3 linked regions of the Arabidopsis thaliana genome follow. The protein of the gene in region 1 purifies or fractionates together with the protein of each later gene. This does not show direct contact. Each region holds a gene or a part of one and is shown on either strand. Other genes may lie near its edges.

Region 1 (8,326 bases):
CTTTGGTTCTTCCGCTTTGGTCTGCTTGTTTCATTGCTGCCACAACATCTTGAAGCTTTCTGATATCTGGATCAACAGCTTTCTTTCTTTTGGTAAAAGTTAGACTCATGTTTGATTCTGGACTCAATGGTTTCGTGTACGGTGATGATCTCCAGTATAGCCAATTGGAAATGGACCTAATCGCCTCTACTGCACTTATTTGTACTTCTCTCTGTGAAACATCCCAACAAAACTACTTAATATCTTACATGTAAGTGTATAACTTGACTATAGATAACTCACCTGGGAGGTCTCTTTTGTGGTTCTGCTCATAGCTTTAGCGTATCTTTCTTGGAACTTCTTGACATCAACAAATACATTGGAGACACGCTCACCAACCGTGTTTCCAACCCCGATCCTCACGTTGCCTCGTGGTTGCTTTGACATAAGGAACTCCAATGGAGCAAGGTCAGATCTCTCCACCATTCTGCACATCTCATAAAGTATCATACTTTTATGTATTTCTCTAGTTGTCTTGTCTCTATTGACTTCACATATAGAGAGGGAAATGAAACAAAACCATTACTACATCTACTAGTTAAGTGCTTACGAAATGCAGTCTACAGGGCAAGCTTCGATGGCTTCTTTGATTTTGGATTCAGGATCAGCCCATTGAGCAACAACCCTCGCTCTCCCGTAAGCAGTTTCAATAGCAAATGTTTTCTCTGCACACAAAGCACACTTCAAACACCCAACACACTTAACCTCGTCCACAAACGCAGCTCGTTGCTCTGTTTCTGGTCCACACCAAACCGAGTATATCGGTTTCCCTGTATAGCCTCTGAGTTCTTCTAGTTTTGCTTGCTCCTACAACAAGAAAGTTTCATTCATATTTACTTAGTGTGACCTTGACAGAGACTACAAGATCAAAGAAGCAATATAAGAATTATAACCTTGTCATAGGCTTGGCGCGAGATCGGATCAGAGAGAAGCTGGTAAGCCTCGTTAAGAATGATGGCCATATCATGACCGGGATCTCCTGCGATATCTGGATGACATCGTTTCTGCAACGCACGATAGGCTGATTTGATCTGAGACTTATCAGAACTTCGATCAATACCCAAGAGGTCATAAAGATCAAAGTCAGTGATAGACGATGATGATGAAGTTGCTCTACACTTGAACTTGAGTGGTGATCTAACGGTGATGAGCTTCTGAGATGTTGAACATGGCCATGTAGCAGTTGATGGAGGAAGAGTCGTCGGAGAAAAAATAGCCGGTGTCATATTTTCCCCTTCTCTGTTTTGGAAGGTGGATGAGTTTAGAGAGGGACAAGTTGTTGAAAATATCTCTATATGAAGCTATTTTTCCATCTCTCTTGGAAAGATATTTTATTTGGGACGAATAAAAGTTCCAAATTGAGTTATAGCTAAAATGAATAATATTTTATAAAAAATAAAATTTTTGAAAGCAGACAATAAAGTTGATTGGTGGCAATTAAAAGAGTTGTACTATTATGATATTATCCTTCTATACGAATGAAAGTTTAAGGCTGAGGATCATAGCGTAAAAAATATCATAATGAATTATCGAAATGTTGTTTTAATAAGAAAAACCAAAAAATAAAGTCTTACATATTTAGGTTACCTAATTTTTGGCTTTTGGTTTGGACTTTAAAAGATCCAGTCTACACTTGTTGTATCTTTCTTACAATCTTTTCTTTCATTTTCAGGTAAACCAAAAAAATTATAAAGAATCTTCCCACCCTAATCAGAAAAATAAATTATAATATCAATTTTCAAGAAATCAAACTTGTAAAATTTTTCTACTTAGGAGAGTATAATTTTGAGAAATTTGAGTTTTTAATCTACAAAAAAATTATAATTAAGTAACTAACCATCCCACAAAAAGATACTGATATTATTTGTATTTTCTGTAATAATGACAATGCTACCCTTTGCCTGAGATACAGGCTCTTTTTCTTCTTCTTCTTCTCTCTTTCCAAAAAACACTTTCTCATCAGCTGTTAACATTCCAACAGCTTTTTGGGTCCCAAAAATTACTATCTCCTTTTTGTAAAGCTTCGGATTCTGAAAACGTTCAATGGAGATGTATTGGCGACGGAATCAATACATTTAATTTTTGGAATTGACGTCTAGGGTTTGTGATTAAATTGAATTGGGGGTTTTGATTTACAAAGGTAAAATTTTGGATTTTTTTGGAGTTACATCAATTTCTAGTTAAGTGTGGCGAGTTCGTGTCTCCTTGTGCCCTCGATTGTGGAACCCAAATGGTGTACCCGGTGTTCTCTACTACCACTTCTTTCCTCTACCAAGAGACTATCTTGTGCTGTGCTACTCGTTATGTTGGTAGTGATGACAAACATATATTATTCTATTTTTCTATGGTTAAAGAATATTAAATTTTAGATTGAAATCTTTGGGTTCCCAATATATTATCCACTTAGGGTTTAGTATCCTTCCAACAAAAACATTTAATTGATTATAATGCTATATTAACGTAACATAAACTACTATCTCATCACCACTACCAACACTATTACTTTATATTTAAAACATTTTGCTCTATACTAAAATTAAAATTGATTTACAAATCAGTTATGAAAATAGTATAGAACAATATTTTATTTCTATACATCTTAAATAGTACAATATATTTTTTACTTACAAACACTATTTCTATTTTTAAAATTCAAATCCGATTTTAAAAATTCAAACTATTCTGTATGTAGAAAAAAACATATATTTTTCTCTACTAAATTTCAGAATTGAAATCTATTTTTTGGAAAAGATATATAGCAAACATATATAAATGGATAAAAACTAAAATAAAGGTTAGTAAATCATCTCACCTATGAGTCAACATTAAAATTGTCTTTTCCCTACCCTTACATGTTACTTTCTTAATTTCTATATATATGATGCTATATTCTTAATTACATTATCAAAAGTAGCTAGTTTTGCAATTCACCCTATAATTTTGTGTGCACAAGAAAAAAAAAAAAAAAGAGTATAATTTTGTTTGGACTCAAATCAATGGGCCTTAATATGGATCCATTAAATTAAGCCCAAAAGCTTTCGTTAATTCTTCAACGAAGATCGCTGAAAATTTCCTTTCCCATTTCGCTGAATAGGGTTCAGTACAAAATTCGGAATCGTAGGTTTAAGAATTTTAGATCATTGAAACAGCCATGTCTAGGCAGGTCACGAGACTTCTCGGATCTCTTCGCCATTCCGGCGGCGGCTGCAGCGGCAGCTCAAAGGTCTGCTCTCTCACTTCATTGGTACAGTCTCGCTCCTTCGGGACAACTCCTCCGCCTCCTGCGGCGGTCTTTGTCGACAAAAATACACGTGTCATCTGCCAAGGTATTACCGGAAAGAACGGGACCTTCCACACTGAACAAGCCATTGAATACGGCACCAAAATGGTATTGTATTCGAGAATTCACATAGATTCAAATGTACTTCTTGGTGTTTTTGAGCAATTCAGATTCTATGTATGGAGTTCTTAAGTACGATCATAAGAGCCGATTCTTTACTATTTCATCTCTCAAGTTCACTTGGAATTGGTTCGTTTATGTTGATGAAATGGTGTTTGTTTTGTGTTTGCTTTAAAGCTTGTGATGATCTTATTTTAGGTTTGTGGTTGTTTGGTTAATAGGTAGCAGGAGTGACACCAAAGAAGGGTGGAACAGAACATTTGGGGCTACCTGTTTTCAACACTGTTGCTGAAGCTAAGGCTGAGACTAAAGCCAATGCCTCTGTGATCTACGTACCTGCGCCTTTCGCTGCTGCTGCTATCATGGAAGGTTTAGCTGCTGAGTTAGATCTTATTGTTTGTATCACTGAAGGAATTCCTCAACATGACATGGTAATAGTCGTTGTTACCAGTTTCCTTTTTTTTTTTTTTTGTGATATCTTCTTTATATGATAGGTTTGCACAGTAATATAAGGTGGCTCTACTGATTTCTCTGGCTTTTGTAATGTAGGTTCGTGTAAAGGCTGCTCTTAACAGTCAATCAAAAACTAGGCTGATTGGCCCTAATTGTCCTGGTATTATCAAACCTGGTGAATGCAAGATTGGGATCATGCCAGGATACATACACAAGCCGGGGAAGATAGGGATTGTTTCTCGATCTGGAACATTGACATATGAAGCTGTAAGGTTCTTTGTGTTGCCTTCATGTTTGTCTCTGTCTTTCTCAACTTATTGACTCCATAGCCTTTAGCATGAGTAGTTGTCTTACTTAAGAACCTCTACTCCGTCGATTGTTAGATTAAGCTTTCACTGATGTCAGTTCCTTACTGGAAGACCTGCTTATTAAGTACTTCTTCTAATGGTTGCATTTTGGTTAATCTTTCATGCAGGTTTTCCAAACTACTGCAGTAGGTTTGGGGCAATCTACTTGTGTAGGAATTGGTGGGGATCCGTTTAATGGGACAAATTTTGTTGACTGCTTGGAGAAGTTCTTTGTTGACCCCCAAACAGAAGGTCTCGGTTTCGGACACCATAATTGATTCCATACATCTTATATCTTTTCCTATTTGTCTAAATTCATTGTTTCCTGTTAGTCACTTACTTTTAATATGTAGTTGATATCCCAAGACTACTACTAGTTCTTTAGTATGTAGAAAAAGGTGATTCATTTGCAGTAATAGACACAGCTTTATCGATATTACAGTCTCGCTCTGTTTTGTAGATTAGTGAAAGAATCCAGCATTGTTTTGTTACTAAGAAATTATTGATTTATTTTCAGGTATCGTTCTCATTGGAGAAATCGGTGGGACTGCAGAAGAAGATGCCGCTGCTTTGATAAAGGTAACTGCAATGCTTCTTTCTAAAGAATCAAGAGTTACCATTTTTAGATGATCAAGCGTAAAAACATATCCTGTTTTCAATTAAACAGGAAAATGGTACAGACAAGCCTGTAGTTGCTTTCATAGCCGGACTTACTGCACCACCAGGGCGTCGTATGGGTCATGCGGGAGGTAAATAAACTTTACTCAGCTCTTTCATTCATTCACAGTTTCCCACTCGAACCCATTATTAAATCTTGTAATGTTTTTTTTGGGATCGATGAAGCCATTGTTTCCGGTGGTAAGGGCACGGCTCAAGACAAGATAAAGAGCCTAAGAGACGCAGGAGTTAAGGTGGTTGAGTCACCAGCTAAGATTGGTGCGGCGATGTTTGAGCTTTTCCAAGAAAGAGGTCTTTTGAAGTGAAACTGAAGTAATATCATAATACAATGAGTTGTTTCAGGAATCAACCTCTCTAATAACAACAGTTTGCCAAAATAGAAGAGTGAAACGGAATTCCTAAAATTCCTTACCATGGAGATAATTGCAGAGAAAAAAAAATAGTCACTTTTTTTTTTGTCTATGCCATTCTATTTTTCAATTTATTGAGCCGTTCTATTTTTTTTTTGTCTTTGTTTTGGTTAAGTTACAAAAAATGAGAACGAATCAATTGCACAAATTTCTTCTTTTAAGAATCAAAATCAACTAATTTAGCTATGTTGATTCCAACTTTTGTCTGCTATGCTATGAGTATTGTTGTAAAACAAACCTTTTCTTTAATTTTAACTAACAATTAACCCCAAAAAATGACAGCTAATCAAAATGATTTTAATTAGTGTCGTGAATATGAATGAAGAGATTCATAATATAATAATATTGGGAAAAAACAATTGACAATGAGAATGCATTTAAGTAAAATGACAAAAACAAAAGCAAAGAGGTCTATAATTGGGTCCTAGGTAATCAATGGTAATTCATGAGGACGTTGTCATTAATTAATTACTACTACGTGTACTAATCAATGGTTATCACTGGTTCAGATAAAGACGCTTACGTCAGATGTTCCATCAAATTACAATTTATGCAATTTGCATTACGTTTTACTCTATTTGTATAATAAGTTTTCGTAAGCCTCTCAAAAGATAAATCGAAACATTTATCATTAAATTAGGCAAATCAATAGAAAAAGAAATTAGCTCATTTTATATTTAGTATTTACATAGATCTGTTATATACGTATGTGTAATGTAGGACAACATAGGGGCAGCAGATGAGAAAGTGTGACAGTGGAAATGACGGAAATAGCCTTGGACCCAACTCTTCCTCTTTGATCATTAGTTTCCTAATTTAGAAACCATAACATGTTTCTTGTGAGTCTTCTGACAGAACAGACGACTGACCATTACTCTCTCTGCTTCCTTAAAAATCCTGTGACCCAAAAATTCAAAGGAAACGACTTTAGGACGTTAGAATTTAAATGGAATTAATGATATATTTAATTGTATACAGTATATTGTTTAGACCATTAAGTTCAAGTTTCAACACGATTTTTCACTTTGCAAGGCATTTACCATTTGTCACATATAGGTAAAATTTATCTACGTACGGATCATCTTGTTATAATAAATGACTTTTTCACCATAGGCAAAACTCCTAAATTCTATTTTTCTATTTAAATTTGTTAAAACATGATCACTGGAATGATTCCACTGTGTATATTCATATCATTAATAATTTTTGTTCTCAATCTTATCATGTAGGCGTAGCCTGTAGGCAGGTGTAGCGCTGCTAATTACTGAATATATATATATCTTATTATATAAAGTATGGTTTTCAAAGTTGCTAACTCATAGGATCGTGCCACGTGTCAAGTCAAACGATCAGATGTTTACATGTGTCATTCAAAATTTAACTTTTTTATTCTCTAAAAAAATAGAAAATCTTAAAAAGTAAACAAATTTACATATACTAATTTATATGTCTATATATTTATAAACAATTAACATTTATTCAAAAAAAGAAAATTAACAAATATGTGTTTAACTCATGTAATTATAAGTGAAAATAGAATATTTTGAGAAAAATAGCTTAGCTTATAAGATTTAACTTTTCAATTATTTTCATTTATTAATTTTAACTCATTTAATATTAATTTGCATGATGTAAAATTAGCTTACGAGATTACGGCATATATAAAAAATATATTTTCAACAATGTTTGGTTTCTAAATATTTTTGTGGATTTCTGATTTTCTATTAATTATTAAGCCTAGGCGTTTGGGTATTCGGATCGGGTATTTCGGGTTCGGGTTTTCGGGTTTAGAAGTTTATGACCCGTTCGGGTAATTTAAGATTTCGGGTCGGGTTCAGTTTGGGTTCGGGTTCGGGTTCGAGTTTATTTATATATTGAAATATCAAATTTTGTGTGCAAATCTATTAAATTATTTGAAATTTTCAAAAATTTCCAAAACAACACGAGTAGTTTTGATTGAATATTTCTAAAAATACACAAAAATAACTAATATATCCAAAAAAATCCTAATATTTTCTATATATAAGTATAAATGTAACTAATATATATTTATATTTGAGATATGTTTGGATACCTATTCAGGTTCTGGTTCGAGTTTTTTAGATTTTGAAGTTTAGACCCGTTCAAGTATTTAAAAATTTCAGGTACTCCCGCCTAAATAGGCGGGCCTTATCTAGTATATATATATATTTATGGCAATTAGAAACTATGAATCAAAGGATCTAGATGCCAATTTCCTTTTCAGAATTTCAGTGTTCGAGTTTCAGCATCAAATATATAGTAAATTATAATAAGAAAAAGATGTAAATGTCATCCTATTATTTAAATTTATATATTGGGAAGTAAACTTATTACCCACAACACTTTTATTGGCCTTGCTTTGTGTAGTGATGTTGTTGTATGAAGAGACACTTGTTCTTTTCTTATCGTGTTTTTTGAAACCATTTTATTAATGAAATTCAAATATACAATATTAGTGTAAGTGTGTAACTAATATGGATTGCGCTTTACAATCTTGTTTACTGAATTATGACTCGAATTGACAAGAAAAAGAAGCTATACTTTATTACATACTATAATCTAAATAAATTACACGTACATTGATGTTACTATAGAAATAAAATAAATTTTGGGGCTTGTATGTTTATGCATATATTTGATAGGCAGAGGAGTTAGGTAAAAAAAAATAAAAAGTCACTTTCAAGTATTGTTACACTTTGTCCTTTCCCATTTGGCTACTCTCTCTTTCTCTCTTTTGCCTTTTTCCTTTTGTGGTAACTTTGTTTTCCTTATAACATTATTTCATTAAGTTTCCATTTTCGTTTTTTCTCCGAATTACGTCATGCATGGCAGATCAAAGAAACTAATGTTCGATATTTTATAATTTTTTACTAAAAGGATCTTCTTCGCTAAAGAAATTACCAAACACTGCCATTACAAGTCTTGTCTAATAAAATTTCGTATTTAAGTTATTATTTGAATGTTTTGTAGCTTAAATT
Region 2 (7,947 bases), on another chromosome or scaffold:
TTGTATTGGTTGAGGTCAAATTTTTATTCGCTCTATATATCGTTTGAGAGGCTAGAATCAGTGATTTTCATATTAATAGAAGCAAAAATGCAAATTTTAAAATTAAACGTTGGTATATCATGGTCATTTAATTCTATGTTGTTTTGAAACATGCGCTTTTTGGCCTGTAAGATTCCAAGATTAGTATACACTTTGATCCGGAATAATAATAAAAAAAAAAGTATGAACATTGATTTACAATTTATGCTTAAAACACAAATTAGAACATGTATTGGGCCACTATATATATAATTTATACCGTAAATGTATGTACCAAAAATAATTTTGATCTCTATTTGTGGCCTTGTGGGACACAATCTTTGTTCAAATGTTTATTGTATCGGTTGTGTATTGGATAAATATAAAGGATAGAGCAAAGAAGAAGACAAATAAGAAAAAGATTAGTTTAGTAGATATGAGAATTGACAACTAACAAACTCATTATTAGTGGTTTTAAGAACTTTGGAATCAAGCTAAAAGGAATTAATTCTCAATTAAGAAAAACTACAAATGAGATTTGATGTAGAAAAGCAATATTGGATTATATAAACTGTATGGTTGGGGTATCACATTCCCAACTAAACATGACGAATATAATTAACATATCATATATCGATTTATTCCATGGTTTTGGTTTTCTTGTGGGTAGACACATCTTTAATAACCAATTTGGTTTTGGCTACCACCTTGGTTTCGTGTATTTGGTCAAGGCCAAAAGATTTTCCATTTGTTTGGTCATTGCAAATTCCATATGATGGTATGTAGAATTCGAAGATTCTGATGATGAAAAAATAATGTATATATGTAGTTGGTTTACGAATCAAATGGTCCAAACAAAATCATGTGGCACTTACGGGTCCACAACCACAAGTATAAGAAGTCCAATTCAAACACACTAGTTAATGTAGAAATACAAATAAAATTAAATAGAATTACGAGTTCACGCAAAGGTCACAACACTTGTCTCTCTTAGCTTCAATAAGTTCCATTAGTTGATAACAACACTCCAACGTTAGAGATCCATCAAACCCCATACACGAGTCTATTTTGTGTATTTACTATGTCTATTTATCAGATTCAAATGCTTGGTTAGAAGTTGCTATGGGTCTCATATAGTCAGAAAATTTAAGGTACTCGTATTTAATTCGTATATGTACATCAGTACAGATAACATGTACATCTATGTCTAATTGATCAAGTTGTTAGAATAAAGAATAATTATTTAAATTTAGATGATGGCCATTTTAGGTTATACTAGACATAAAAATGATAGGATATATATAAAAAGTTGAAGACATAAAAAGATCAATACATGATAGGATTTATATATACAAGCAAATGAGTACTGTATGAGTTGTGAAAGATAAACATATATACCACCACGAAAGAGTGTGATACAAGTAAAATTCATTTAATTAATATAAAATATAGTAGGTGGACATGGAGATGGAATACTATATCATCATAGAATTTCATTTTATGTAATGAAATGATAGTCGTTGAAAGAAAACATGATAAATTAAAATGGAATTCGTAGGAATACGTAATAGAGTTTGATCATCTTCATTGATATGACCATGTATAATACTATAACAACACAAGTGACTACACCTACTCAATCATGTAGTATAGTCATTACTTGTAGACTTGTTGTAGCACTGTTTTTCTTTTCCTGACGTCATATTTGTAGCAAGTCCGATTAAATTGTGTAAGTGAGGTTCTTCTGTGACGTGAACACGTGACCTAACATTCTCAGCATATGGGCATTAAAGTTGGGCTAGTCAAATCCATCTGAAATGTGAGTATTGTTCTGCGCCACGACGTCGTTTAACGAACAGCGGTGTTAAACTTTTTTTGTATTTTTTCCTCCAGTGGTGTTAAGCTTCAGACGAAGGCAAGAGTTAATTTAGTTGAACAAAGAAACCATCTTATATTCATTCTGGATATGGCGTTTAGTTATACTACAAATGGTGAATAACAAGAAAAGCTAAACAAAAACAAGTAAAAGCATTCTCAGAATCACCAAAGTTAAGCTCATGAATCTTTATCCTTGGATAAGCTCCATGAGAGTCTGCTTATAACATTTTCGTCTACTATTTTGTAGTGGTGAGACAACCGCCTGTGAATCGTCCCGCAACACTTGTCTACTTTGCTTTGATATTTACTGTACAAAGCCGGTATTGTTACAGATAGGATGGTCCCTGTTCACACCATAAAAAGTATAAACTTCATATAAGAATTTGGTTCACTGAGTTTAAAACAACAATGTCGCAGGAACTAAAACGAGATCAACAAGCCAACGTGGGGGATGAAACTGAAGGATCAAAAAACATAGAAGCTTTTTCCTTTCATTTGCATTTAAGGATCAAGTTACTAACCGATGTAAAGAAGAGTGCAGAGAGATATATAGCTACCAATGGCAGAGAGAAGCCACAGACAAATCACCACCTGCTAAAGAAAAATCGTCAGACCAACAGTTCAGATGCTTAACGGTTCCCATGTCATTTCACTCAACATCATCGTGAGTTTCTGAATGGGTTAGCTTCATAACCTTGAAGAAGAGTCGAAAATCGTTGCCAACTGTGACATCATGAGCCATTACAAGCAAGTGATTGAGTTTTATACGGAAAGAAGCTGCAGCACTATTCACCATTTCCTCTGATAGAACAAGCTCTGGCAACGAATGCAACTGTCTGCTTATAAAGAGATAACAGGTAGAAATCATCACTAATCAGTCACATAACAGCAAAGAATTAAGAAAAAGAAGACTAGTGAAAAGTAGAGCGCACCTATTCCTAAAAGCAGAAACCCGGGCATGAACGAATGATATCATGATCACGATGAGTAAGACATCCGAAGAAACAGATAAGAAAGGCAACCCGGAAAACTCGAATATAAGCCAGGCTACAGTTGATATAATGATAACCCCCAAAGAAAGATGTCGCCTCCTCCATAAGAGCAAGTCAGCAGCTACATCAAAGAACAAAGCCATACAAAAATCACAAACAGTAGCTTTTTGCTGGACCTATGAACTCATCATGCGTATCCAGAGATTTGAATCAATCAATTTCTCATTCAAAATCAAACCTAAACCTAACTTTCACCTGCCAAGTTTTCCATTTTCTACTATACCCAAAATGCTAAATGTACTTACACACATGACGATTTTCACAACCAACCAAAATCAGAAACCCTAACTATTCCAACTATCATCCCCAATTTGAATTTTCTGTTCTGTAAATCCGAGAAAATTCTCATCACAAACTACCAAAATGATGAAAAAACACAAATTCTGGAAAAAAGAACTCGCCTTTGCCACCACCCATGAACTGATGAACCGTAATCTGCCGACCCAACAATCGATAATCCGATGACGATCCTCCTTCATTTCTTCCATCGAAATCACCATCGATATCACTTAAACTATCCATCGGAGAATTAAAAAAAAAAAACCGAATTTACACAAATTCTCCGACTTCCAGGTTCCTATTTCGATCTCGCCGACTCCGATTTGAAATTTACCTTAAAGATACGATCTCAGTACAATGGTTTGTGAAAGCAGCTAGATTGATGGGAGAATGACAGCGATTGGGTGGATTATCAAGGAGGAACCAAATAGAATTGGCTTTCACATGCATCCAACAAATTCAACATTTGGAAATTCTCCGTTTCTAGTCAACTTTCTTCATTTCTTTATTTTTTTCCTGTGAACAAACAAAAAAGTAACATTTAGCCGTCACAAAATATTAAAAATTACGCTTTATTATATTAAGGCCTTGGGCTCACTAATCCAATATTACGGCCCATAAATAAAAATCACATGTCTACGTGTCAAAACAGTCACTTTTCTCTATACATGACAGGCAGTGATATTATCATAACCCTCCACTTATACACATGTTCATTTTTGGCGACCACTAGAAGGAGAAACAAATCTTCATTCCAACAATGGCGATTCGTTGTGTAGCGAGTAGAAAAACCCTAGCCGGCTTGAAGGAGACATCATCGAGGCTATTGAGGATCAGAGGGATTCAGACTTTTACGCTTCCTGATCTTCCTTACGATTATGGCGCATTGGAACCGGCCATTAGTGGAGAGATCATGCAGATTCATCACCAGAAGCATCACCAGGCTTATGTTACTAATTACAATAATGCTCTTGAGCAGCTTGATCAAGCTGTGAACAAGGGAGATGCTTCCACTGTTGTTAAGTTGCAGAGCGCCATCAAATTCAACGGCGGAGGTGTGTTTGTGTGTCTGACTCTCTTTTTTTTTTTTTTTTACGATCTCGATTTCTATGTGTTTGATCGATTGGTTTGTGTTTAGATCGTGTTTGGATGATATTAGCAAATGAAGTAGTTGATTTAGGAGAGAAATTTGGTTTGAACAGTGAAGCTGATGAGTAATTTTGATGAATTGGGATGAAACTTCTGTAAGAATCAATGAAACTTTTATCGGTAATGCAAGCTTTCTTAGATAGCTACTTTTGTTTGCTGGGTCTTGAGATCATAACCAGTTGATTTAGTATAGAACTTTTGTTAGGAACATTGAAGCTGTTGATTAATTTTGATGACTATAGTTTGGTATTAGGATTGTTGCTTCTTGAGCTCCGGACCGGTTGGATTGATAGAAGAGAAATTGGCAGAGAAACTATTGGAAATAAATTGAGTTTTTTGTGTGCTAGAGAATGGGAATTGATCGACTTTATTTCTAACGTGCAGGTCATGTCAACCATTCGATTTTCTGGAAGAACCTTGCTCCTTCCAGTGTGAGCTTGTGTTTTGAGTTTCTGTGTATTTCTTCGATTTTGTTGTTCTGTAATTGATGGTTTGTTTTAATGTATAACAGGAAGGTGGTGGAGAGCCACCAAAAGGATCTCTTGGTAGTGCCATTGACGCTCACTTTGGCTCCCTTGAAGGTCTGGTGAAAAAGATGAGTGCTGAGGGTGCTGCAGTGCAAGGCTCAGGATGGGTGGTCTGTAGTCTAGTTTCACCTTTTTATTTCATCTGCTCACATTGTCGACTCTGGTGCTTTACGTATAATAACCATGGTCCTTGATTCGCTTGTTTCTGTTGATTAATTCAGTGGCTCGGACTAGACAAAGAACTGAAGAAGCTAGTTGTTGACACAACTGCCAATCAGGTAACTTATCCATGATCAGGAATGCGCTATTGAATATGTTCAAAAGATTTCTTGGTACTCATGAACATCTGTGAGAATAATGGGTTTTAAAGAAAAAGAGTTTGTTTCGGTTGGTGCAGGATCCATTAGTGACAAAAGGAGGAAGCTTGGTACCTCTGGTGGGTATAGATGTTTGGGAGCACGCCTACTACTTGCAGGTAACAACACTTTTGATACCTTAAGTCTCATGAGTTAGCTTAAAAGATTAAGCTCTCTAATCAATCTGTATTCTCTCATTCAGTACAAAAATGTGAGGCCTGAGTATCTGAAGAATGTATGGAAAGTGATCAACTGGAAATATGCAAGCGAGGTTTATGAGAAGGAAAACAACTGAATCGTTTACACGATGACATAAGGAGATGAACCAGTTCCAGCTCAGCTTTTGTTTTAAGGTTGTCTGAAACAAACTTACAGTGTCTCTTTGGTTTTTAAGATTTGCTCAACTCAGCTGTGTGGTACGTTGTTTTACAATGAAAGTTTTCAAGAATAAAAATTTGCTATTATTGTCAGAAAGCGCTATTGTTTATTCTACGAAGAAAACAAAACGGAATCTTATTGGTATAATAATTACCTCATTTCAATAAAACAATAACTAATTTTCTCGTTTTTCACTACTCGACACATATATGACAGGAATATTATAACGAAGAAATTTGGGATTAATGAAATTTGTGAAATAATGCATACACACTTGTGTAATAAAAATGCATTATCTTTGTGTCTGCGTTGTGGAAAATGGATCATAGTCAAGTCTCATAAAAAACGCGTTCAATTCAATTTATACATATTTCGCCTAACTTTTGATTCTTTACGCCTTGGCCCCATTCTTATCTTTTAATTTTATCTCTTTCTTGGAAGTTACCCAAACACTAATACAATGTCAATTCAAATGGTATCCTTGACTCTTTTATGCGTTTAACTTAAAAGACTTTCTTAGTCTAAATAAAATTGATACATAATCATAGAAATTAAAAAGCTGATTAACGTTTATCAAAGAAATATTGATGAAACGATACAAGATGATAGTCTAAGTCTTGATCATTTCGACTTACATTACCAAATAAAATCCTCATTTTTCCTAAACTTCTACTGTAAATTTCTGTAATACATGTAACATTTACAATAATCTCTATTTGAAAACGAAAAATCAAAGAATCTCTAAAGAACAAAAAAAGAAAGAAGTAAGAATTAGGACAGAAAACTCTAGAAAGAATAGTGCTAAGTCTTGACGTCGTTAGTTTTCTTGCTGGGTCCAGACCCCGGACGACTCCCTTTCGGAAGAGCATTCAACACCAAGGACCCGAACTTTCCGGCGACAACTTCAGGAACAAAAGAAGAATATTCCGTCTTGGTCTCCTGCTCGCCTCCGCAACCAACCACCGCCGACTTAGAAACAGGAGGGATCTCTCCGGAGAAGATGACTGGAACAAACTCTCCGGGTAAGATCCTCGCCGTCGATAGAGAAACAGAGATGAAAAGAAGAATCAAAAGTAAAGATCTGTTAATCGCCATCTGTAAAAATCTTTTTGTGGACTATTTTTTTGTTGGATTAGTCTTGCTTGGTTTGTAAAATGATGAAGTGGGTGAAGATCAAAGAGAGAGTGTATCCATTATATATATACGGAGTTTGTGAAAGTGCGAAAGGTCAATGGGGGGAGTTGGAAAACTTACGCGGCAAGTGTTCGGACTAAACAATAGTGTTGAATAAATTGGTCCTTTCCATCGAGTCCAATTAAAAATATCATTTTCATTTGTAACGAGTTAACTTTTTTTTGTTTTATTTTTAAAATTCTAAACGTGTGTGGTAAGCTGAAATAAAACATAAAAAAACAATGATTCGGTTATCGATTTTGGTTGAAATGCAATCAATCAACAAAGATGTGCTTAGTTTAGAAATAGGTTTAAATGAAATATTAGAAAACACAAGAGTGAAAGAGACCATTGAGAAACAGAAAACGTTTACATATAATTCGGAAATATGATATCAGTTTATTTTATTTTATTTTTACTTTTTGTCAAAATTGTTGTGCTGAAATTGATAGATTACTTATTATAGTGCATGATCTTGTATTACATGGACATTTTGAATAACATTCACGAGTTTCATCATCAAGTATAATATTAACAAGAACATTTAAACAGAGGTATGCAACTATTGCATCTACTTTGTGAACCCTATAAGTTTGTCGTATGATCATCAAACTATACAAATATTTTCATGAAATGAATGTGCATATCAAATCACAAAATAAAAAGAAGATAAGATTTACACTTTTTAAGTCATTAATGGAATTTCCAACTGCTACCAAGAAAAGCCGTAGCCCACCGTCACTTTTTGACCGCGTCCTTCTTCTTGTTCCCCAAGTCTCTCCCACACTCTCACCGCCTTTACACTTCCATTAACGTGTGTGTGAAAGAGATATAACTTTTGTCTCCTTTATTAGATGAGCCAAATTTTCAACATTAGATTGTAGATAACACGAATGTCATTTGTTGGATATTGCGGTGCAACTTTACGGTTGCTCATGAGAGTTGAAAAATATGACTTAGCAGTCATATTTTCTTCTTGTTTAAGCCTAAAGTAGGGTAACGAGAAAGCAAAGCGTATAGTCTTGATAGTTTCTCTAAGCTTTTATGGGGTTGTTGGGTCGAAAACACATTGACCATAGCCCAAGAATATTGGAGCATTAACATGAGCTAAGTGCTTTTCTTATGAAAAACCTCCCA
Region 3 (9,050 bases), on another chromosome or scaffold:
TTAAGTGTCTTTCTGTAGACATCAACAAGACCATCAAACTGTCTTCCACCACCTCCTTTCTTTGCAGCCTTGGCATCATTAGCTAGACGGGTACGGGCATAGTCAAGGGAGTACACAAACAGAAGGGAAGAGGCACCAGCTGCTCCTCCAGATGCCAAGTTACCAGCAAACCACTTCCAGTAACCATCTCTGTCCTTCTTAAAGTTGAAAAGTCTTTTGAAGTAATCTTTGAAGGCAAAGTTCAAGGCCTACAATAGACAAAAAAGAAGGTTAGCAGAAAATTATGTTTTTTCAAAAGCTATAACAAGAAAGAGTATGAAACTCAACAAACCTGAGTGGGGAAATAACGGATAACATTGGCAGTGTTTCCTCTCCATAGAGAACCAAAACCTTCATCCTTAATCGTCCTGCCGAAACAGTCACCAATACCCTTGTAGGGTTCAGAAAGCCTGCCAGCTTTAATCATCTCATCCTGGTTCTGGATCAAAAGCTTAACACGTTCAATAGGAGCAGCAGCAGTCTTGGAGACGGCAGCAGAAACACCACCCATCAGAAAGTCAAGGGCAAAGTTAGTGAACCCCTTCTCTCCTGGGGTTTGGACAAACACGGGAGAAGCAGTTGTTGCCAACATCCGGGATGTCGGAGGAAATTGAAATGCAGCATTGGAGTAGTTTCCGTAGGTTGCATGTCTTTGATACATAGAAGGCCTCTGGTAACCCACTTGAACGTCCTTGGAAACACTTGAACGCATGAACTGCCCGGCAGCTTTCTGCGCAATAGTGGGGTGCTGAACTTGATCAACCATTTTGAACTCTGCAAAATCACATAATCATTGATGAGAAACCAGACGTGAATAACATACTACAAACCAGCCAAGGAAATTCAGAGAATTCTTATCCAACACAAGACATGGTCGTATCACAGAACGCTATCCAACCAAACAAACCAAGTTTATTGGAAAACAGTGAACCATGAACCAAGATCTACCATGTCATATTATAACGCAAAGATCATATAAATTTAAGAACAGCAACTTAAATCAGGATTACAACAATAACAACTTCCAATAATGAAGCCTCGACATCAGATCGGATACATTTTAAACTAAAGTCAACAGATCCAAACGATTTTGATCACTAGAAGATTATCAGATCAACGAAACGCACAAAAAGAAGCAGATCTATGAAACCGATACATCAGATATTCGACAATGAGCACAAAACATTCCGATCGGACTTTAAGCAAAGCAGATAACATAATCTATCAATATAACAATCAGATCTACAGATCGAAACGTCTCATTTACCTTACAGATCTAAAAAACACAGATCGAAGAAACGAATATAACAATGATTTGAAGAACGACGAGATTATAAAGAATCACAGATCTGAGAGAAACGAGTCATACCTAAGAATCGATGGATGAGCAAAATAACTGGAGAGAGACTCCGCCTTTATCTCACAGGAAATGAGAGGGCGAAGCAGAGAAGAGAGACGAAGTTTTCTCTGTGGTGAAGAGGCGAGCTTTGAAAAGAGCGATTGTTTGCCCTTTTATCGTCTCGAAAAATAGGGTCACAGAGTCTCGGTCGTCACTCGCCAGTGGGGACGAGTTATTATCTGCTGCAAAAAAACTATTTGGGCCTTGCAATTTAATATCCGTTGGATCTTACTGATTTAACCCTAAGAACTTGTTAACCGTTGGTTATGTTTACTTTGTGAAAGAATTGTTATTCTTTCTGATGGTACGACTTTACTTGCTAACCGTTAGATCTTGCCCTAGGAATCTGGACCGTTATTTGGTAACGTTGAGGGCAAATAGTGAATGGACGGCTGGAAGGGTAGCGTGGAAAATTATTTTGTCGACCATACCGAACCAGATCAATTTGCAAATATCTTATGCCAAAATTATTATTATGAAAGGAAATAAATTGAAGTGTTCAATTTTATTTTAAATGCCAGATTTTTACAACTTTGTTTATTTTCTTCTATATGAATATGATATTTGTGAATATACAAAAAAAAAAAAAGTAATAATAAACTGATCTAGTATTTTTCACAAATAGTGATATTTTTCTAAATCAACTTGGTTACAAAGATAATTTTTCTATATGCTACGTTTCTTTTCAACTTTCTCTATTGTTCTCCCATGTGTTACGAATGTTCAGCAACTGCCCTTAAAGTCTCATACCTTTAACTTTACATGAAAGGTTTCTTTTATTTAATTCGTTTAGTTATTTGGAGAACATTTTTTAATGAAGTTATGTTTTGGCGAAATAGATAAATCAAATTTAGTCTGTGAATTGAACAACATCGTGAGAGGGCCGGCGAGTATACAGTATGGCTCCCAAAAAATCACGAGCCTTATTAGAGAGCGGTGAAAATAGTAACTTAAAAGAGAATCAGAGTCTATAGAGGCTCAGGTGGGACTTTTAAAAAGAACTACAACAACAAGAATCATCACTTCTCGACGACTTCGATCAGACTTGTCTCATAGTCACTCGGGGCCACAAATCCATGGAGGTTCATCACTGTCGCAGCTACATTTGCAAGCCCAGGTGTCTCGATATCCTGTCTAAACCTAACTCCTGCTGACAAGCCAGGACCTCCTATGGCAATTGGCACCTGCACACACACATCATGTCCAAATTTCATATAAGATACACCAACCACTTCTGGTATTACAACCCCTCATGCTTAATCTATGCTCAGTTGCAATGGTCATAACACGAACTGTTTTAGTAGTGCTAGAACTTACTGGTTTAAGGGTGTGAGAGGTAAGAATCTGAAGGTTCCCTTCCTTATCGAGAGCAGGCTTGCCGGATTTGTCCCTTTTAACCATGTCCTCAGCATTTCCGTGATCTGCAGTCACAACGTATATCCCTCCGACCTGTTCTATGGCATCAAGGATTGTCTGCAAACCAGGACACCAAAACTAAGTGAGTCATTGCTACTAAGAACGGTTTCTAACATTCCCATGTCACAAATTTATTGAAATCATACCCTCACAGCACGATCAGCAGCTTCACAGGCAACAACAGTTGCTTCAATATCACCAGTATGCCCCACCATATCTCCATTTGGCAGGTTTACACGCACCTGAAAATCCATTGGCACCAAACTCAGAAGCCAATTGTTTTAATGGGTTGATACAATGTGATAAGAGAATACACCTTACCTGGTCAAACTTGCCACTAAGGATAGCATCCCTTGCTTTCTCGGCAATTTCCAGTGCTTTCATCTTTGGCTGGACATTGAATGATATTCCACTATCACTTGGAATCTCAACGTACTCTTCTAACTTTTCATTGAAATATCCAGAGCGGTTGCCATTCCAGAAGAAGGTTACATGGCCAAACTTCACAGTCTCACTGTTTCAGTGAAATAAAATTTTAATAGGTTAATAGCTGAGAATTCATTCATTATATGTAACTAACCATCAACGGTATAATCTCATCAAGAAAAAGTGAGCTAGGAGATTTCACTAGTTTTAATCAACAAACAACCCCCAATCATAAATTAGACCTCTACCGAGCAAGTAAAGAAGACTGGATTACTCTTATCACAGTTTCAATTATGAATCCAATTCCAGCAAATAAATAAACCAGGAAGCAGCAATAGAAGAAAATGGCAAAGACAATAACTAAAGATTTGAGAGATTCTAAAAGTTAACCTGCAAGCAAAAGTACGAACGCCATTGTGTGCCAGATATTCACCAGAAGTTCTGTCAATCAATGGTGGAGAAACAAGATAGCGGCTAGGAAGCTTAAGCTCTCCATCATATTGGAGCATTCCTGCATAACGTATATCAGGGACACGTACGCGATCAAACTTGTCGAAATCTTTGTATTCGAGGGCCTTTGCATGCATGACCATTCGATCAGCACGGAAATTGAATGTAACAACTGCGTCACCATCAACAATTGGACCCACAGCCTTTCCATTATCATCAACAATAACAAACGAAGGCAAATACTGGTCATTGGCACCAGGTTCTGCCCTCAGTGTCTTAACTGCTTCAAGAGCGCTTTTAAATTTGTGGGGAGCTTCCCCAAGGACTTGTGCATCCCAACCTCGTTTAACAACACTCCAATCATTCTGCAAGGAAGGAAAGCAAAAATTGGATTCATTTCTAAACTAGACTAGACAAGGCATGACATTCATACAAGATCTCACAAGCATTGCCTACCTCATAACGGTCCATTGTGACATACATTCGACCTCCACCAGATGCAACCTGAGCATCAACACCTTTCGCACGTAAAGCAGCTAGGTCAGCTTCAAGAGTTTCAACAAATCCGACACTAGAACCATCCAAAACATCACGACCATCAGTAAGAATATGGACGCGGATTCTCTTAGCACCACGTTCTGCAAAACCCTTAAGCAGCAACTGCACCAAACAGAACCAAATTAAAGAAAATTAACAAACGCCAACGTTTCAAAAGAAATGTGTAACAGATGAGAATTAAGTACCTGGACTTGATCCAAACGAGAGTGAACTCCACCATCGCTTAGAAGACCAATAAGGTGCACAGTGCCTTTCTCAAAAGATTGAGAGATGTATTTGAAACCTTCATCTTCATAGATTTTCCCTGAAGCAAGGGCGAGATCAACAAGCTTAGCACCTTGAGCGTAAATTCGACCAGCTCCAAGAGCATTGTGGCCAACTTCACTGTTTCCCATGTCGTCTTCGCTGGGGAGACCAACGGCGGTACCATGAGCTTTGATCAACCTCCATGTGTCGGGCTTCCCCTGTGAAGAATAAAATCGAACCGTTGAAGTCCATAATCGGAATCCAGCGAAATCATCGAGGAAAGAAGTGGATATAAACAAAAAAGGAAACATACGTCTTTAAGGGAATCCATGGCAGGAGTTGGAGCTTTATGGATGCAATTGTATTGATCGGGATCAGATTCACCCCATCCATCGAGAACAATCAAACCGATAGTTTTGCCTTTGGGAAGCTTGGGGTGGTCCGCAAGTTTCCAGTTAACGTCGCCGGAGCTACCCATAACTGTGGATTCAGATCCACTCGTCGGTGAGAAATTAAAGGTTTAAGGAACAGATCTGAGAAGCGAGAGAGAGAGAGATAACGGAAGCTTACCAGCGGAGAAACAGAGGAAAGCTTCTCAAAGAGTCTTATGGAGATTCGCAGAGACAGAAGTGGTTATGTGGTGAAGTATGGTAGGTTGAGAGCTATCACTGACATAATATGAGACTTTTATAGAAACATAGAAATGGAAAAGTTAGCGATGACGTGGTACCAATTTAATGGGCTTTACTTTGGGCTCAAGTAAACATTGTGAAGCCCCCAAAAAAATGGAAGGAGACGAATGTTCTAGTTTTAGCTGCTATGAACGAATGTTCTGGATCATGCCGTTTGTAATAGTCATGGTGTGCGCCATGTAAAAAAAATTGTATATACCTTTTTATTTTGGTCAACGTAAAAAATAGCATACAGAAAAGGTCAAACCGGAGTTAACTTAATAGTTTATACGGTATTTGAACCAGAATTTGATCAAAAATGGGTAAGTTTTAGTAACTGGGATTACATTAATTTCTGTTGACAGTAACTTTTTTTTATCTAAATCATTATTTAAACCTTGAGATTGCATTAAATCAAACTGAAATTACACGAAAACCAAACCGAAAACTCATGTAAGAAATTCAGGGTTGTGCACATTTATTTATTCAATATCATCATAATATTAACTGGGAACCTTCAAAAGGTTGGTAGAAGGCTAAAAAACAATTTCTAATGGGCCAAAGACAAAAAGTTGAGTTCCTATATATTGGGCTTAAAAAGCCTGAAACTAGATGAGACGTGGTTCATAGTCAGATAAATGGGCCAAGGATAAGGAAAGACAAAAACAAAAGTAGAAAAGAATCATACAGTATACATATATGGGAAATATACAGAGAGAGATACAGATAACACAATAAGAGGTAGACGGACAACTGTTACGGCGAAATTGAATGCCGCAATGTATCAATATGATTGGTCGAAAAGGAAAGTAAAAAAAACAAACAAAATATTAAATTTTTGTTAATGTGTAAAGGGAGAAAAAATCAGATGAACAGGCTGTATCATTTTTTTTTTTGTGAACAAATGGGACTGACGACAACACTCTTCTTCTCCTTTTTGTCCTTTTGGCTCTCTCCTTCTCTCCTTTCTCTCTCTCTCTCTTTTCCACCGGCGACCATTCATTCTCTCTCCTCCTCCTCCTCCTCCTCCTCCTCAGCTTCCTCCATTGCTCCTTAACCCTCATTCCTCGATTTGTTCTTCTCTTCACCATTTCCCCTTTTTACCCTTTTTCTACTCAGACGTGACGGCGACTTTTTATTCCTGTGTCTCCCACCTTTGACTCGCCCTGGGGGGATTTTTTTTTGCTCCAGAGGCGAAAGAAACAAAAAAAAGCAATGGGGTTTCTCCGTTGTCTCCAGCTGCTGCTGCTTCTGTTTCTATCTCTTCGTCTACAAAAGCTCTCTGCTCAATCTTCTTCACCCAATGCTTCTTCTTCTTCTTCACTCGATGCTCTTCTTCAAGATTACTCTTTTAGAGCCTTGCTTCGTCCTCGTACCGGCATTCTCTACGAGGCTACTACTGTTCCTTCCAATTTGACTGGGATCAAACTCGCTGCTATGAGACTCAGAAGCGGAAGCTTTAGAAAACGTGGAGTCACTCCTTTTAATGAGTTCTCAATTCCCAGCGGCGTTATCGTCAAGCCGTATGTGACAAGGCTTGTTTTGGTTTATCAAAACCTAGCTAATTTCTCTCACTTGTATTACCCTTTGTCTGGTTATGATTATGTCGCTCCTGTCTTGGGTCTTCTCGCTTACGATGCTAAGAATCTCTCTGCGCTTAATTTGCCTCAGCTTGATTTAAGGGTGTCTAATGATCCTATCAGAATCGATTTCTCTGATCTGGAACGAATCCCGCAAGGGTCTAGTGCTAAGTGTGTTAGATTCGATTCTAAAGGTGAAGCGAGTTTCAGCGATTCGATTCAGCCTGGAAACACATGCGAGACTGAGCATCAGGGACATTTCTCTGTGGTGGTGAAATCTGTGGCTTCTGCTCCGAGTCTAGCTCCTCCTGGGATTGAGAGTAAGAAGAAGAAGAAGAGCTCTGATTCCAATTCCAAGACTTGGATCATTGTTGGGTCGGTGGTTGGTGGATTGATACTGTTGGGGCTTTTACTGTTTCTGGTTTTGAGATGTCGAAATTACAAGAAGCAAGAGAAAATGAGGGAGATGGAGAGAGCTGGAGAGACAGGGGAAGCTCTGAGGATGACTCAGGTTGGTGAAACAAGAGCACCAACTGCTACTACGACTCGTACACAACCAATGCTTGAAACCGAATACGCAGCTTAGGATACTTTTGTGTACATCATCATCATCATCACATCTTCTTGATCATCTGTTACTGTCTTTTTCTTTTTTTCTTCTACAATTATTCTTCTTTTGGTAAAGTGTTTCTTTTTCTGATTATTTTTTCTTTGTGGTAAGCAAGTTGATACTTCCACATTCATCTTGTTTCTCTGCTGGTGATAAGGAAATAAGTAATATTGTTTTCTTCTTGTGCTCTCAAATTAACAAACTTTGGTGGTCTCTCCATGAGAATGAAAAGAGTTGGATTGTTTCTGGAGTGCACTCACTTTGTTTTCTTCTAACTACTTTTGCTGTAAAGCTTTGCCCTTTTTGTAATAATTTCAACATCTTTTTGTCTGAGAAGCAGACAGTTGAAGAAGATGTATATCATCCTATCATCCATACTCAACTTTGTTACATTGAGCTTAGCATTCTTCAAAAGGAACTAGTGTGTTCTTGAGATTTGTTGAGTTTTAACATTTTTTGCAGCTATCTGCTTCATGCAACTTGTTGACCCTCACATTTATATTAGAAGATCACCGATGAACCAATAGATTTTGGAACCAAAGAGGTTAGAATCCGGTAGGATATGTAGAAGATGATTTGCACTTGGCAATGTTACAACGTTTATGTTTACATCTAGGATTGTCTTGTTTGCTTACCTTATATGAAAAGTCATCTCGTTCATATGGATTTTTTGCATTCTACATTTTAGAAAAGCACCGTTTGCCACTTCAGGTATGTAACAATGTGCACAGCTACAAATCTTTGCACTGAACAGATTTGGAATAAAGTTTGAGTTAAAGTGAATACATGACTTGGTTAATCCTGGCTTGGGCCATCTTGTGGCCTCTTGCTCATATCAAGTAAAATGCCATGACAACAACGTTAATGGCTAAGTTAGCATTGCAGCATCTCCTCTGACTTCTGCAGATACCAGGAGATTTTTTGTCTCATCATTCCAAAATCTTAAGGTTGAAAAAGAGATGAAGTAAAATGTATAAATGCGGTATTAATTGTGTTTCAAGGACACACAAATAATTGCCAGTTTTTGTCAAAAGGAAACTATAGTTGTAGAATATTCGTCTCTTTTCTTCTTTTTCTGTTATCTGTTCTATTAGAAAGCTAAAGAAATACATCAAAGTCAGGTCTCAACGGTAAAATGAAAACAAGCTTCTTTTTCACTAAAGAGTAAAAGAGATTCCTCTCAACATTGGTCTTTCATATTTTTCCTAGCTCATATTCTGGTGTGGTTGATCGAATCTTAATGAACCGGAGAAAATAAAAGATTTGATTATGTAATTTATCATAATCAAGAGCTTGTTTGTGAACACATGAAAAAGTAAAGGAAAGAAGAAGAACTCTCTCTGCCTGAGGAGTTGTAATTTTTGGCAGAAGCTGGTGTCGTTTTAAAGAGAAATTAGAAGTGAATCTATGTAGTTGTGTTGGTTGGTAAGATCGATTTAGTTACATTAAATAAAAAATATTCCTTTGAGCAAAAACAATTAAAAAAGATAGGTTTCGTCACAAGGTGGACCATTTCGAAGAAGAATTAAGAGACGAGCCCACTTGAAAGAGACATAGCGAGGGGACCCCATGTGAATCTGCAAGCAGAGACAGAGGCTTTGACCGTTCTCATTCATCAACCATCCTCCATTATTAGCCAGAGTCATAAACCATGT

The links. The genes of interacting proteins can lie anywhere in the genome.
Region 2: the proteins of AT5G23250 (region 1) and MSD1 fractionate together in Arabidopsis thaliana (co-fractionation; one large-scale study listed by BioGRID). This does not show direct contact.
Region 3: the proteins of AT5G23250 (region 1) and iPGAM2 fractionate together in Arabidopsis thaliana (co-fractionation; one large-scale study listed by BioGRID). This does not show direct contact.

What each region holds. Positions count from the first base shown.
Region 1 is NC_003076.8:7,827,270-7,835,595, forward strand, and holds AT5G23250 (Succinyl-CoA ligase, alpha subunit), read left to right. Parts: upstream 1-3,086; 5' UTR 3,087-3,190; coding exon 3,191-3,427; intron 3,428-3,660; coding exon 3,661-3,870; intron 3,871-3,988; coding exon 3,989-4,159; intron 4,160-4,367; coding exon 4,368-4,491; coding exon of another isoform or gene 4,492-4,517; exon of another isoform or gene 4,518-4,756; coding exon 4,757-4,818; intron 4,819-4,906; coding exon 4,907-4,988; coding exon of another isoform or gene 4,989-4,996; exon of another isoform or gene 4,997-5,082; coding exon 5,083-5,222; 3' UTR 5,223-5,574; downstream 5,575-8,326. Other genes in the region: AT5G23240 (DNAJ heat shock N-terminal domain-containing protein), read right to left, coding at 1-211, 283-466, 590-846, 933-1,265. UniProt on the Arabidopsis thaliana protein: Succinyl-CoA synthetase functions in the citric acid cycle (TCA), coupling the hydrolysis of succinyl-CoA to the synthesis of ATP and thus represents the only step of substrate-level phosphorylation in the TCA.
Region 2 is NC_003074.8:3,414,028-3,421,974, forward strand, and holds MSD1 (manganese superoxide dismutase 1), read left to right. Parts: upstream 1-3,912; 5' UTR 3,913-3,987; coding exon 3,988-4,282; intron 4,283-4,760; coding exon 4,761-4,807; intron 4,808-4,887; coding exon 4,888-5,013; intron 5,014-5,124; coding exon 5,125-5,181; intron 5,182-5,300; coding exon 5,301-5,378; intron 5,379-5,461; coding exon 5,462-5,554; 3' UTR 5,555-5,865; downstream 5,866-7,947. Other genes in the region: AT3G10915 (Reticulon family protein), read right to left, coding at 2,074-2,240, 2,418-2,487, 2,591-2,732, 2,829-3,009, 3,350-3,429, 3,562-3,677; AT3G10930 (uncharacterized protein), read right to left, coding at 6,201-6,506. UniProt on the Arabidopsis thaliana protein: Destroys superoxide anion radicals which are normally produced within the cells and which are toxic to biological systems.
Region 3 is NC_003074.8:2,606,226-2,615,275, forward strand, and holds iPGAM2 (Phosphoglycerate mutase, 2,3-bisphosphoglycerate-independent), read right to left. Parts: upstream 5,331-9,050; 5' UTR 5,105-5,330; exon of another isoform or gene 5,015-5,104; 5' UTR 5,013-5,014; coding exon 4,848-5,012; intron 4,753-4,847; coding exon 4,474-4,752; intron 4,391-4,473; coding exon 4,187-4,390; intron 4,096-4,186; coding exon 3,671-4,095; intron 3,369-3,670; coding exon 3,176-3,368; intron 3,097-3,175; coding exon 3,001-3,096; intron 2,912-3,000; coding exon 2,756-2,911; intron 2,623-2,755; coding exon 2,458-2,622; 3' UTR 2,083-2,457; downstream 1-2,082. Other genes in the region: AAC1 (ADP/ATP carrier 1), read right to left, coding at 1-248, 332-805; AT3G08600 (transmembrane protein, putative (DUF1191)), read left to right, coding at 6,421-7,371.